Caenorhabditis elegans: one gene and its partner. The protein of the gene in region 1 purifies or fractionates together with the protein of each later gene. This does not show direct contact. Each region holds a gene or a part of one and is shown on either strand. Other genes may lie near its edges.

Region 1 (5,033 bases):
TTTTGGAGGAGACATTCTGAGAAAAAATTGAATTCAAGTTTATAGTATGTCCATGAAGATCATAATGTTTTAAGATTTTCAAAAAAAAAAGTTCTTTAAATTTAAAAAAAAAACCGATCACTATAAATTTTTTAATCAGTTTCAAAATTTCACCTGAGATCCACGTATGCATCTTTGTAAAACACTATTGGAAAAGTATTCACATTTTTGTTTTCAACTTGATAAAAATTGCAAATTAATCTTGTAAATAAAAACAAAGACGTAATCAATATAAGAAATTTAAATAGTTTTCGCAAAATGGAAATCATTTGAAATTTGAGGAGCTCAGAGAAGAGTGTTGAAAAAAGGAGCTAAAACCCAGAACAAAGGAAATAATAATAAGGGTTTTGAATATTGTATGAGTTGAAAACGTTAGTTTTAAATAGAAAGTTGATTTTTAAATGTGTATGAATTTTGAAATGTTTTTTAATAATTTTTTTTTAAATTATTGATATCAATAAGTTGAAGTTGATATATTTATTCAATAAACCCGAATATCGAAATGGCTTTTTTTTCTTCAAAATCAGACCTTCAATCAATCGTTCTTAGTTTTAGTCTCTCTTCTACGGCAACATTTTCTGAAAACTGCTTTCAGAATAAGGAAGCCAATGTAGAATACAACTAAAACTACTAGGAACAAGAAGCCGATTACATCAAGAGAATGATATTGATAAAAGTTAAGCTTCTGTCCAGCTGGCACCAGGTTGTCAAGTGTCTTGAATTCCGCAAGAAACTCTGACCATTTCAGAAGACGTTCAGCCGGCTTCATTGGTTGAGCTCGAACCATCGCGGAGAGCCGGGTTACTTTTTGTTTGTAGCTGAAAGTTAGATATTGACATTGTTGTTGAAAATAAAATTGAAAATAAATTTCGGAAAACCAACCTATCATTCTCCAAAATTTCTCTAAGAGCTTCAACGACCGTTTCCTTGGAAATTGTTCCTTTTTCAATGTTCACAGCAAATCCATGTTTCTTGGCGATTTGGGAGTTTTTGGGCTGATCGCCCATGAGAGCAATAGTGATAAGGGGGACTCCGGCGGATATTGCTTCCTGGAAGAATGAATTTTAAAATTTTTGCTGATAGTTTACAGGCATGTCTTGCAATTTCTTGATAAAAATTTAAGTGAAATTTCACAACTGAATGAAATTAGAAAAAACGTTAAACAAAAAAACAGTCAATTAGCAGAAACTTTAATATTACAGTTACAGATCACAGGGTTAACAAAATGCACATACCTGCAAAGAATTGTACCCTCCATGAGTAATAAACGCTTTTGTCTTCTCGTGCAACAGTAGATCCTTCTGTGGAAGCCACTTCGACAAATGCACATTTTCCGGCAATCTATCCTTCAGATCATCTCCTTCATATCTCATGACAAACTGGTAGTCTGGTAGAGATGCAAAAGCTTCCAAAAGCGAGTTTTTCCAAGCCAAGGGCATTTCATGGGCAGCTGCCACTGAGCCAAATGAGAAGACAATAAGCCCATTTCCAGTTTCAGAGATTTTCTTGAACTCCTGGAAAATTGAACATGCTGAGACATGTTGATTTTAAAAGTGGACTTACTCCAGTCAATGGTTTAGCACTGTCAAATCCGACACCAAGCCCTCCAATATTTATCACTTTGGCCAAAGTGGGACGTGGTAGATCGTAGAGTTCATTGCTGTTTACAATTACCTGGAAAAAGTAGTTATTTAGGTATCAGGACTGTGCGGCAACCAAGATTTTCGGCAACCGGCAATTGCCGAAGTTGCCGGACCCAAAAAAAAATCGGCAACCGGCAACATTTGGTTGCCGAAACTTCGGCAATTTTTCGGCAACCGGCAACTTGGTTGATATTTACAAAGATGAAAGTCTTTGAAGTTAAACTGTCGTCCGTGATGTTTTAGCCTAAATATATTTACGTTAACACTCCTAAAAAATTTCGATTTTTTGAAGTTTTCAGCTAAACTTTTGGCATATTGCCAAGTTTTTCAAAAATCTGAACTTTTGTTCTAACGCAACTACCAAATTTCTTATTTAACTTCAATACAAAATAGGTGCAATTATAGCAAAAAATGCTTATGGTTTGCCACTTTTTATGTTTGTTCGAGAAGCTGACCATATCACTTACCAGTGGGCATTTGGCTCCAATATCCATGGTATGAGGAAAACTCGGATCATTCAATTCCTTTCGGAAGATTGCTGTCTCCTCGTCGGATGAGATTCTGAAATTTTTAGATTTTTTTTTCAAAATCCTGGCTCAATTCATACCTTCTGTGCATAACACTCATTAGCACATGACCGATAAAACTTTTTGTTCTTTGAACAAAACCCATTTCATCATGAGATGCCATCAATACGGGCGGTACATAGCTGGGAAGAATCGGAACTCCAACTGCCTGTGATACATAATCCATTAGTGGACCACTGTTAAGCCAGACCCAAGACGGAATTTTGGCGTGATGAATTAATCCAAGTGGGCACGTAGAGTAAATATGAGTGTATGCGACATCAAATTTCTCATCTTCCAGCCATTTCAAGAATTCCTTGTTGCGAAGAATGATTCGGCATCCATCTTGAAGTAGCTTTCCCATTCGACTGAACATTGCCATCATTTGAGGCATATCCTTAAGCCCCATGTTCTTGTATAACATGGCTGATTGTTCTTTTTCGATGGATTGCTTTGTGATTCCTTCAACAGCAGCGTCGAGTTGATAGGCTGGAAGAAAGTTTTGATACAAAGCACTAACACAAAGTTTCAGTACTTTAACATGTATTACTAGCAACTTATTCCTTTTTATTGCCACAAATGTGGTCTTTTTGAGGAATTTAAAGCATTGTTGCATGCTCGTACCAATACAATAAAATAAGTCAAATATGCATTTTCACTGCTTTTTGAAACAACATAAACACTTTCCAACAATTTTTGACAAGTTTTATTATATTAGTTGATTATTTTAGCACCATATAAAAGGTTATTAATTATTCTCCGACTTGTCGTATGCCAAATATCAACTCACTTTTAACACCTTTCGGTACTTTTACGTTTGACTCAAATCCAGCCATATGGTTCACCATTAGCATAGTTACGTCATGACCTCCAATTGCAAGAACCTCGGCTACTCTAGCGTTGAATTGAATCTAAATACATTTTTTCGCTTGATAAAATCGGTTTCTACTGAATTTTGGTACTTTGAAAATTTACATTTCCGAATTAAAACAATAACTAAAAAATCAAGTGAAACTAACCTGACTGTTAGCTACATTTGGGACAAATAAAACAAATTTGTATGCTGAAACTACTCCCACTAATACCAGAAAAACCGACAATACTCTCATTGTTGGAAATAACGGAAACTGAGATCAAATAGATGTTCTTTTATACACCTGCAGTACCTGGGTAAACACAAAAATGTTGGGCAATCTGCGTCTGGAGAGAAGAGACAGCCTTTTTTAATGTTAGACAATAGAGACGCAGCAAGAGAAATAGAAAACTGTGGTCTATAGTGATTTGTGGTTTATGTGTAGAAGTAAATATGACTGGACTTTCGATCGTTGGCCAGATAACTTTAATGATGCAAGTTGTACCAAAGTTCTTTCAAGGATTTTAGATTATCATATTGGAAAGTTAGGTTTAGTTAGGTTTAAGGTTAGGTTTAAAGAGAGTGCCAAAATCTGAGACTTGGGTTTTTATACTGAAAATACGATTTTTTCCTGAAAAATTTTCAGAACGTTTTTTTACAAAATTCGGTAGATTTGGGCCATTTTGGATCTAAAAAAGTAAAGCTTGGTAATTTTGGTAAATTTTCCTTTGTAGTCCAACTAGTATATTAGATTTTTATTTATTTATTTTGTAATTCAGGTGAAACTCAACCAACATCATTAAACTTCTATCATGAAATTAAATTGACCAGAAGTTCTTGGGAACGAAGAGACGTAGTAAGCGAGACAAAGTTGTGGTGTGTGACAAACTGTACTTATTCGGTACAGATTTTTGTTCTTAAAAGGACAATTTTATTGTGATCAAATTTTGGGATCTGACCAACTGCTAAACGCTTCATTCAGTCACGTGGTACCAGGTTGTCCCATCACCGTTTGATCTACAAAAAATGCGGGAATGTTTTACTCAAAAAATATGTGACGTTAGCAGTTCTTAACCATGCAAAATCAATTAAAAACTCTGCGTCTCTTCTCCCGCATTTTTTTGTAGATCTACGTAGATCAAGCCAAAATGAGACACTCTGGCATCACGTGGTAAGTATATTAGAGCTTCTGGGCCAATCCAGAGATGCCAAAGTTTAGCAAAAGTTGAGGATAGCCCTTGATTGAGGGGCTGTACAAAATTCACACTGAAAACTGCTGAAAGTTGTCTAAAGTTGGTTGAGAAATTGTGGCAAATTGGCGCGTTTATGCACCTTTTTATTTTCCACTACAAAATTATTTTAAGAAACTAAAATATAGGCTCTTTAGAATTTGAAGCTTCATAAATTTCTTTTTTTTTCATCAAATGAACATATGAGTAAAATTTGGCACTTGATCAGTAGGACTGAGATCGTGGCAAGACCCACTCGGAATAACAACGTGTGCTTTTAGACCTGCCTGTAAACACAGTAGTTAAAAGAAAAGCCACCGACATCTCGCTGGCACAAGCTTGTGAGATGTCGGCCGCCAAAATAGATTAGTATTTATAACAACTATTTATTATCAAACTAAAATTTAGGTTAAACTACAAAAATGCCTTCAGTCGTATCGTACACCCAATCCGTCAATGGTTCCATCCACTGCTTACAGTACTCTACCGTACTCCTACACTTTCCCTCTCCAACTATTTTCGTGATACACTGATTCAAAACGTGTAGGTATGTTGAGTTGTAAGGTGGTATCGATGAGCCGAACACTTTTCGAAGTGTCTTTTGGATTCGTTTGATGTGCAGGTTTGGGTAAGAAGTGAATAGACTGTAAGGCTTCTGGACTTCCTTTGCAGGATCTGTGTAGCTATTGTGACGATAGTGAAG
Region 2 (5,339 bases), on another chromosome or scaffold:
CCGCTTGTGGAACCATCATACCCTCTTCCGCCATCATTTTGTCATTAAACACGAGAGAAGTCATAATTTCGAGCTCTAAAATATAAAAAAATTGATTTAAAACACCAAATTCTGCTCTAGAATACTAAAAAATTCGAGGAAACAAGAGGAAAATCAATAGAAAATGCGAGAGCGGAGAGAGCGAGAGGCGGCGAGAGTAAGTGTGCAGGGTGTCTCATTGTCCGGGCCCCCTTCGCGTGCCGGGGTGGCAGGGGGATTTGAGTGTGGTGCGGTGGAGCGCGATTGAGCTGGACGGCGAATATGGCTTCTGTTATTTGAATTATGGCTTCTGTTGTCTATTTTGCAGGGAATATGACGAAAAATCCATATTTTCACTAATTTTACAGGGCGAATTGCTGGAAAAATGCATTTTCGGTCATTTTTAATGCAAAAACCACTAAAATTCATCGATTTTAATGAAAAATCGGTTATATCTCAAAAAACTCGGGAAAAAAGCCCAATTATCTGGAAAAATATCAATGGAGCGCGATTGCACTCGGTTAAAAAGAGAAAAATCTTCATTCATGTCAAAAATTCAGTTCATAATTCCAATTTCAAGTATTTTTTTAGGTCACAATTTACAAGAAGCCGCGGGCTTTCATCCAGTCGTCGTCGAGGAATTTGGTGCTGAAAAATTATGTTTAAGCTTGGCTTTCGGGGCTACAGAGTAGTATTTTGACCTCTAAAAACGACAAAAACTATAGGTTTCCCGCAATTTTCAGAGATCAAACAGCAAATAGACCTCAAAGCAAGCTGGGCCTAATTTTGTAGGCCCCAGGCCCAGACAACTCACAGATAATTCCGAATCCCGTCTGGAAGCAGCACAACGACATTCGCATCCTCCGGCAGATCCAGCTTCCGGCACTGCTCCAACGCGTAATGCACCGCGCATCCCGACGATCCTCCACACAAGATCCCCTCGGTTCTGATGATCTCTCGAGCCATCAGGAATGACTCCTTATCATCAGATTTTAGCCAGGAATCTACTGATTTTTCGTCCAGGGTCCCCGGGATGAAGTCGTAGCCGATCCCTTCAACCTCGTAGAAATCTGGAGCGGGTCCAGTCGTCGGGCCGGTCAGGATTGATCCATTCGGGTCAACGCCGACGACGATCGCGTTGGGACGGCGCTCGTGGATCTTCCGAGAGATTCCGGTGATGGTACCACCGGTTCCTGCGCCAAGGACCTGTAAGAGTAACAGTTGAAGCTTGATCCGAAGTTCCTACTCACCACTAGATCAATCTTCCGATCCCCCATATCCCACAAAATCTCCTCCGCAGTCTCCTCATAGTGTGCCAGTGGATTCCCCGGATTACAGTACTGATCGAGAATCACCGCACCCGGAATCTCATGCTTCAAGCGAAGAGCCACTCCGATGTGAGAGCTCGGGCTGTTGAAGGCCGCCTCGTTGGGAGTCCGGACAATCGTGGATCCTAGCACCGACAGCGTCGTCGACTTCTCCTTGGACATCTTCTCAGGCATCGTGATCAGGCATTTGTAGCCACGGACCGCCGCGACCAGGGATAGGCCGATCCCGGTGTTGCCAGAGGTGGGCTCGATGAGGGTGGTGGCTCCGGGGGTGAGTGCTCCGGGTTTGCCGGTTTTCTCAGCAATTTCGACCATTTTCTTAGCGATTCGATCTTTGGTGGAGCCGCCCGCGTTGAGGAACTCGCATTTGACATCTGAAATTGTCCAAGATGAGGATTTTTGGCAGACCAGGCCAGGCCAGACTAGACTAGACTAGACTAGACTAGACTAGACTAGACTAGACTAGACTAGACTAGACTAGACTAGGCTAGGCTAGACTAGACTAGACTAGACTAGCCTAGACTAGACTAGACTAGACTAGACCGGACAGAGGAATTCCCAACTCACAAACATTGCACCTGACTCCATGAGCCTTCGGAACGTGCTGAAGCTTCACCAGTGGCGTCTTGCCGATCGCATCGAGGACTGAGTCGAGAACCAGTGGTCTTTCCGGCCTGAAAATCAAATTTTCTGCTAAATCTCAGATCCTATAACCTACCTGAACTTGCTGGAACTCTTCCACTCCCCGACCATCTTCGTCGGATCGTAGTCCAGCACCTTCGGGTCGAAGATCTCACGAGGCTTGATAGGCTTCTTGCCGTTCACCTTCATCCAATCAGCATCTAGATAGTCCCTGATTCCATCCATCAGAACCACCACGACCACTGACCCGGCTGGAAGATCCTTGGCGAGTTTGATGGCTTCCAGCACTGCCGCTCCGGAAGATGGTCCAGCCATGATCCCTTCCGTCTCGATGAGGTGTCTGGTGAAGGTGTAGGATTCAGGAGCATCTCGGATTTCCACCTTGTACTTCTGCAGAAGAACTTCTGTTTCTGGAGCTGGAGCTGAAGCTGAAGCTGAAGCTGAAGATCTCACTCCGACCACTGTTGTCTTCTGATCCTTTAAGAAGTAAGCAGCGATCCCTGCTGCCGCTGAAGCTCCACCAGCATCCAGGGGTACCACAACTGCACTGGTCTTCCCAGCCTTCTCAATCTCCGGTGCAGTTCCTTCAAGATTCGCCAGAAACGCGGCTTTCTCGCAGATCCCATCAAGATTGTAGACACCTCGACGCTTGGCCAGTAGATCAGCCTGGAGCCGAGCTTCTCGGAAGTTTGAAACCGGGAGCTCCACGATCTTGGTTCCCAAAGTGCTCAGAATCGTCCTGACCTGGTCGAATGCTCCGGGAGGTGCGTGGGCGGTTAGTCTGACCCCCTTGACGGCTGCCACGGTGGCATAGGAGACTGCAGATGATCCGCCGGCGGTCACGTAGACCTCGTCGCCTCGTTGGATTCCGTTGGACATCTGAAAAAGAAAAAATCAATTAAAAAAATTTGTTTTTGAGATTTTAGATTACTTTCTGGGATTTTTTATTATCAAATTCGAATTCCTCGCCATTTTCTGAGTCTAAAACTCAATTTTCAGCTCAAAACTCGAAAATCGCGTGAAATTCGGTGTTTGCGTACTTTTGGCGCTACCGTACCCCGAGAAATTTCAAAATTGAGCTAGAAACCTCTAGTTTTCGATTTTCCGACTGAAATTTTAAGATAAATTCGAATTTAGCAGCGAAAATTGGTAAAAATTATTTTTAGTCCATTGTGACCAAAAATTTTAACTGACACCTATAATTTTGTGACTATTCCCGGAAATGTGGAAAATTTTAACTAAAAAATTCGAATTTCCCGCAAAATTTGCTAAATTTTAAACCCCATATCGACCAGATTCGGTTAAAAACCAGAAATTCGGCAATTTTTCCGCGCGTTGCGGCCGCGTCGCGGTCGAAGCTGGAAATTCTTCAAAATGAAGCGATTTTCAGCTAGTTTCTGCAGTCCCAGACTGAAATTTTGCAAGGAATTCGAATTTTGAATTGACATTTCCCAATTGTTCTCCGTTTTCTCACCTCAAATGCTCGGTGAGCCGCACGATCTTCCAGCGACCCGGAGATGTTGAGATATTCGAGTTTGACATCTGAAAATTGGAAATTTTCAGATTTTTCTGAAACATAGAAACTCACAAATATCACTTTTCAGCTGAAACTCGGCCTTCAGCTTCTTCAACGGCACCAGTTGAGTTGCTCGGTGGCTCCCGGCGTCCAGAATTGTCTTGAATGCTTTAATGGTAGGCAGGCACATCCTCCAGTCGGGCAAAAAGTTGAAACTGATTATTGATTGATTTCCAAACTGATCAAATTCACGAGATAAGGATGTGGAAAACAATAACACGGGAGGTCATACGGAAATTTTCTTCTTTTTTGAAAGATCATTTACACGTCATCAATTTAAAATTAAATTAAATTTTCATTGATTTCTTTTATTTAAATTACACGTGATATGGATATTTTCACAATTTTCAGCCGAATTTTTATAATTTTCATGGATTTCAGGCGTATTTTAAAGATTTGCAGGGGTTTAGAAATATAGGGGTACTGTAGAAGTACTGGTAGTCGGTGTTTGCGTACTTTTGGCGCTACCGTAATCCGGGAAAATTCAAAATTGAACTAGAAACCTCTAGTTTTCGGGTTTTGGCCTGAAATTTTGTGGGGAACTCGAATTTGAGCTCGAAAATTGGAAATAATCATATTTTAACAGGGTTTTGCAAAGAAATCGGTTTTTAGCAGTTTTAAACAGAATTTTCTTAAATTTTTGATGTAAAAATGAAAAATCTGTCTTTTCCATCCATTTCCCGATTTTTTTTCTTATAGAAAACTGCAATTTTCAAATTTTCGGTTAACCCGTCAAAATTCAAAATTTTTGTTCCGTTTTCTGAAAATTTGCTCATTTTTTGAGAGCTCCGAATAATTTCTGTGCATTTTTAATGCGAAATTCGAATTCCTCGCTATTTTCTTAGTCAAATCCTAAATTTTCAGCTCAAAATTTTGCGGGGATTTCGAATTTGAATCTGAAAATCTGAAAATGTTCCGTTTTCCATGTGAAAATCCGAAAAAATCGATATTTTTTCATAAGTTTATTCACACATTTTCCTATTTTTCGACACAAGAGAGAACAAAAAAAAGCGGGGTGGCGGGCGGAAATTCAAAAAAATCTCAAAAAAATCGAAAATTTATCTCTTCTTTTCTCTATTGCTTGTGTTGTTCGGTGATAATATTGTATGCCGGTTTTCCTTGCGAATCCTGTCCAGCTGGAACACGTTTTCCGTGCAAAACGTACGGCGAAGCGAAATCGTGACGGCAATTCGACCATCCGGTGCCCAAACCGACGCCTGATCCAAACCAAATTGGCCACGAGCGGCTCTGCAAAAAAATGAGCTTTTTTTTTTCGGGGGAAAATCGAGAAAATTCGGCTGAAAATTAACATTTTTCGAAGAAATTTTTTTTTTTTGAAAAATCAATTTTTATAGATTTTCTACGTTTTTTTTTAGAAAAAAAAAGGAAATTTGACGGAAAAATGTGGAAATCGCGAAAAATCACCGGAAAATTGTGAAAAATCGACTGAAATTCGATATTTTTATCGATTTTTCAACAATTTTCCATTGAAAAATCGATAAATCATTGATTTTTTGCTATTTTTCAATGAAAAATCGATAATTTATTGATTTTTCGTTTAAAATAGCGAAAAATCAATGATTTATCAATTTTTTTGTTGAAAAATCAATAAAGTATCGATTTTTTCAAAAAGTATCACAAAAAGGACATTTTAATTGCGATTTTTTGAAAATTGCCACTGAAAAATCAATAATAAAACTATTTTTATCGGAAAAAGAGTGAAAAATCAATAAATTATCGATTTTTCATTGAAAACTAGCAAAAAATCGATAAAT

Evidence for each region. Proteins that work in one complex are often made in the same cells at the same time.
Region 2: the proteins of ugt-61 (region 1) and cbs-2 fractionate together in Caenorhabditis elegans (co-fractionation; one large-scale study listed by BioGRID). This does not show direct contact.

The regions. Positions count from the first base shown.
Region 1 is NC_003283.11:4,740,844-4,745,876, reverse strand, and holds ugt-61 (UDP-glucuronosyltransferase), read right to left. Parts: upstream 3,423-5,033; 5' UTR 3,358-3,422; coding exon 3,268-3,357; intron 3,160-3,267; coding exon 3,039-3,159; intron 2,738-3,038; coding exon 2,290-2,737; intron 2,244-2,289; coding exon 2,150-2,243; intron 1,714-2,149; coding exon 1,603-1,713; intron 1,554-1,602; coding exon 1,275-1,553; intron 1,089-1,274; coding exon 922-1,088; intron 858-921; coding exon 575-857; 3' UTR 504-574; downstream 1-503. Other genes in the region: gtnt-11 (Glycosyltransferase family 92 protein), read right to left, coding at 1-16, 154-308; gtnt-28 (Glycosyltransferase family 92 protein), read right to left, coding at 4,740-5,033.
Region 2 is NC_003280.10:2,219,847-2,225,185, forward strand, and holds cbs-2 (Putative cystathionine beta-synthase cbs-2), read right to left. Parts: upstream 3,722-5,339; 5' UTR 3,695-3,721; coding exon 3,577-3,694; intron 3,531-3,576; coding exon 3,463-3,530; intron 2,868-3,462; coding exon 2,065-2,867; intron 2,021-2,064; coding exon 1,914-2,020; intron 1,721-1,913; coding exon 1,269-1,720; intron 1,225-1,268; coding exon 833-1,224; intron 787-832; exon of another isoform or gene 667-786; coding exon 618-666; 3' UTR 550-617; downstream 1-549. Other genes in the region: Y59C2A.3 (Trichohyalin), read right to left, coding at 1-64; F54A3.5 (MICOS complex subunit Mic10), read right to left, coding at 4,639-4,812.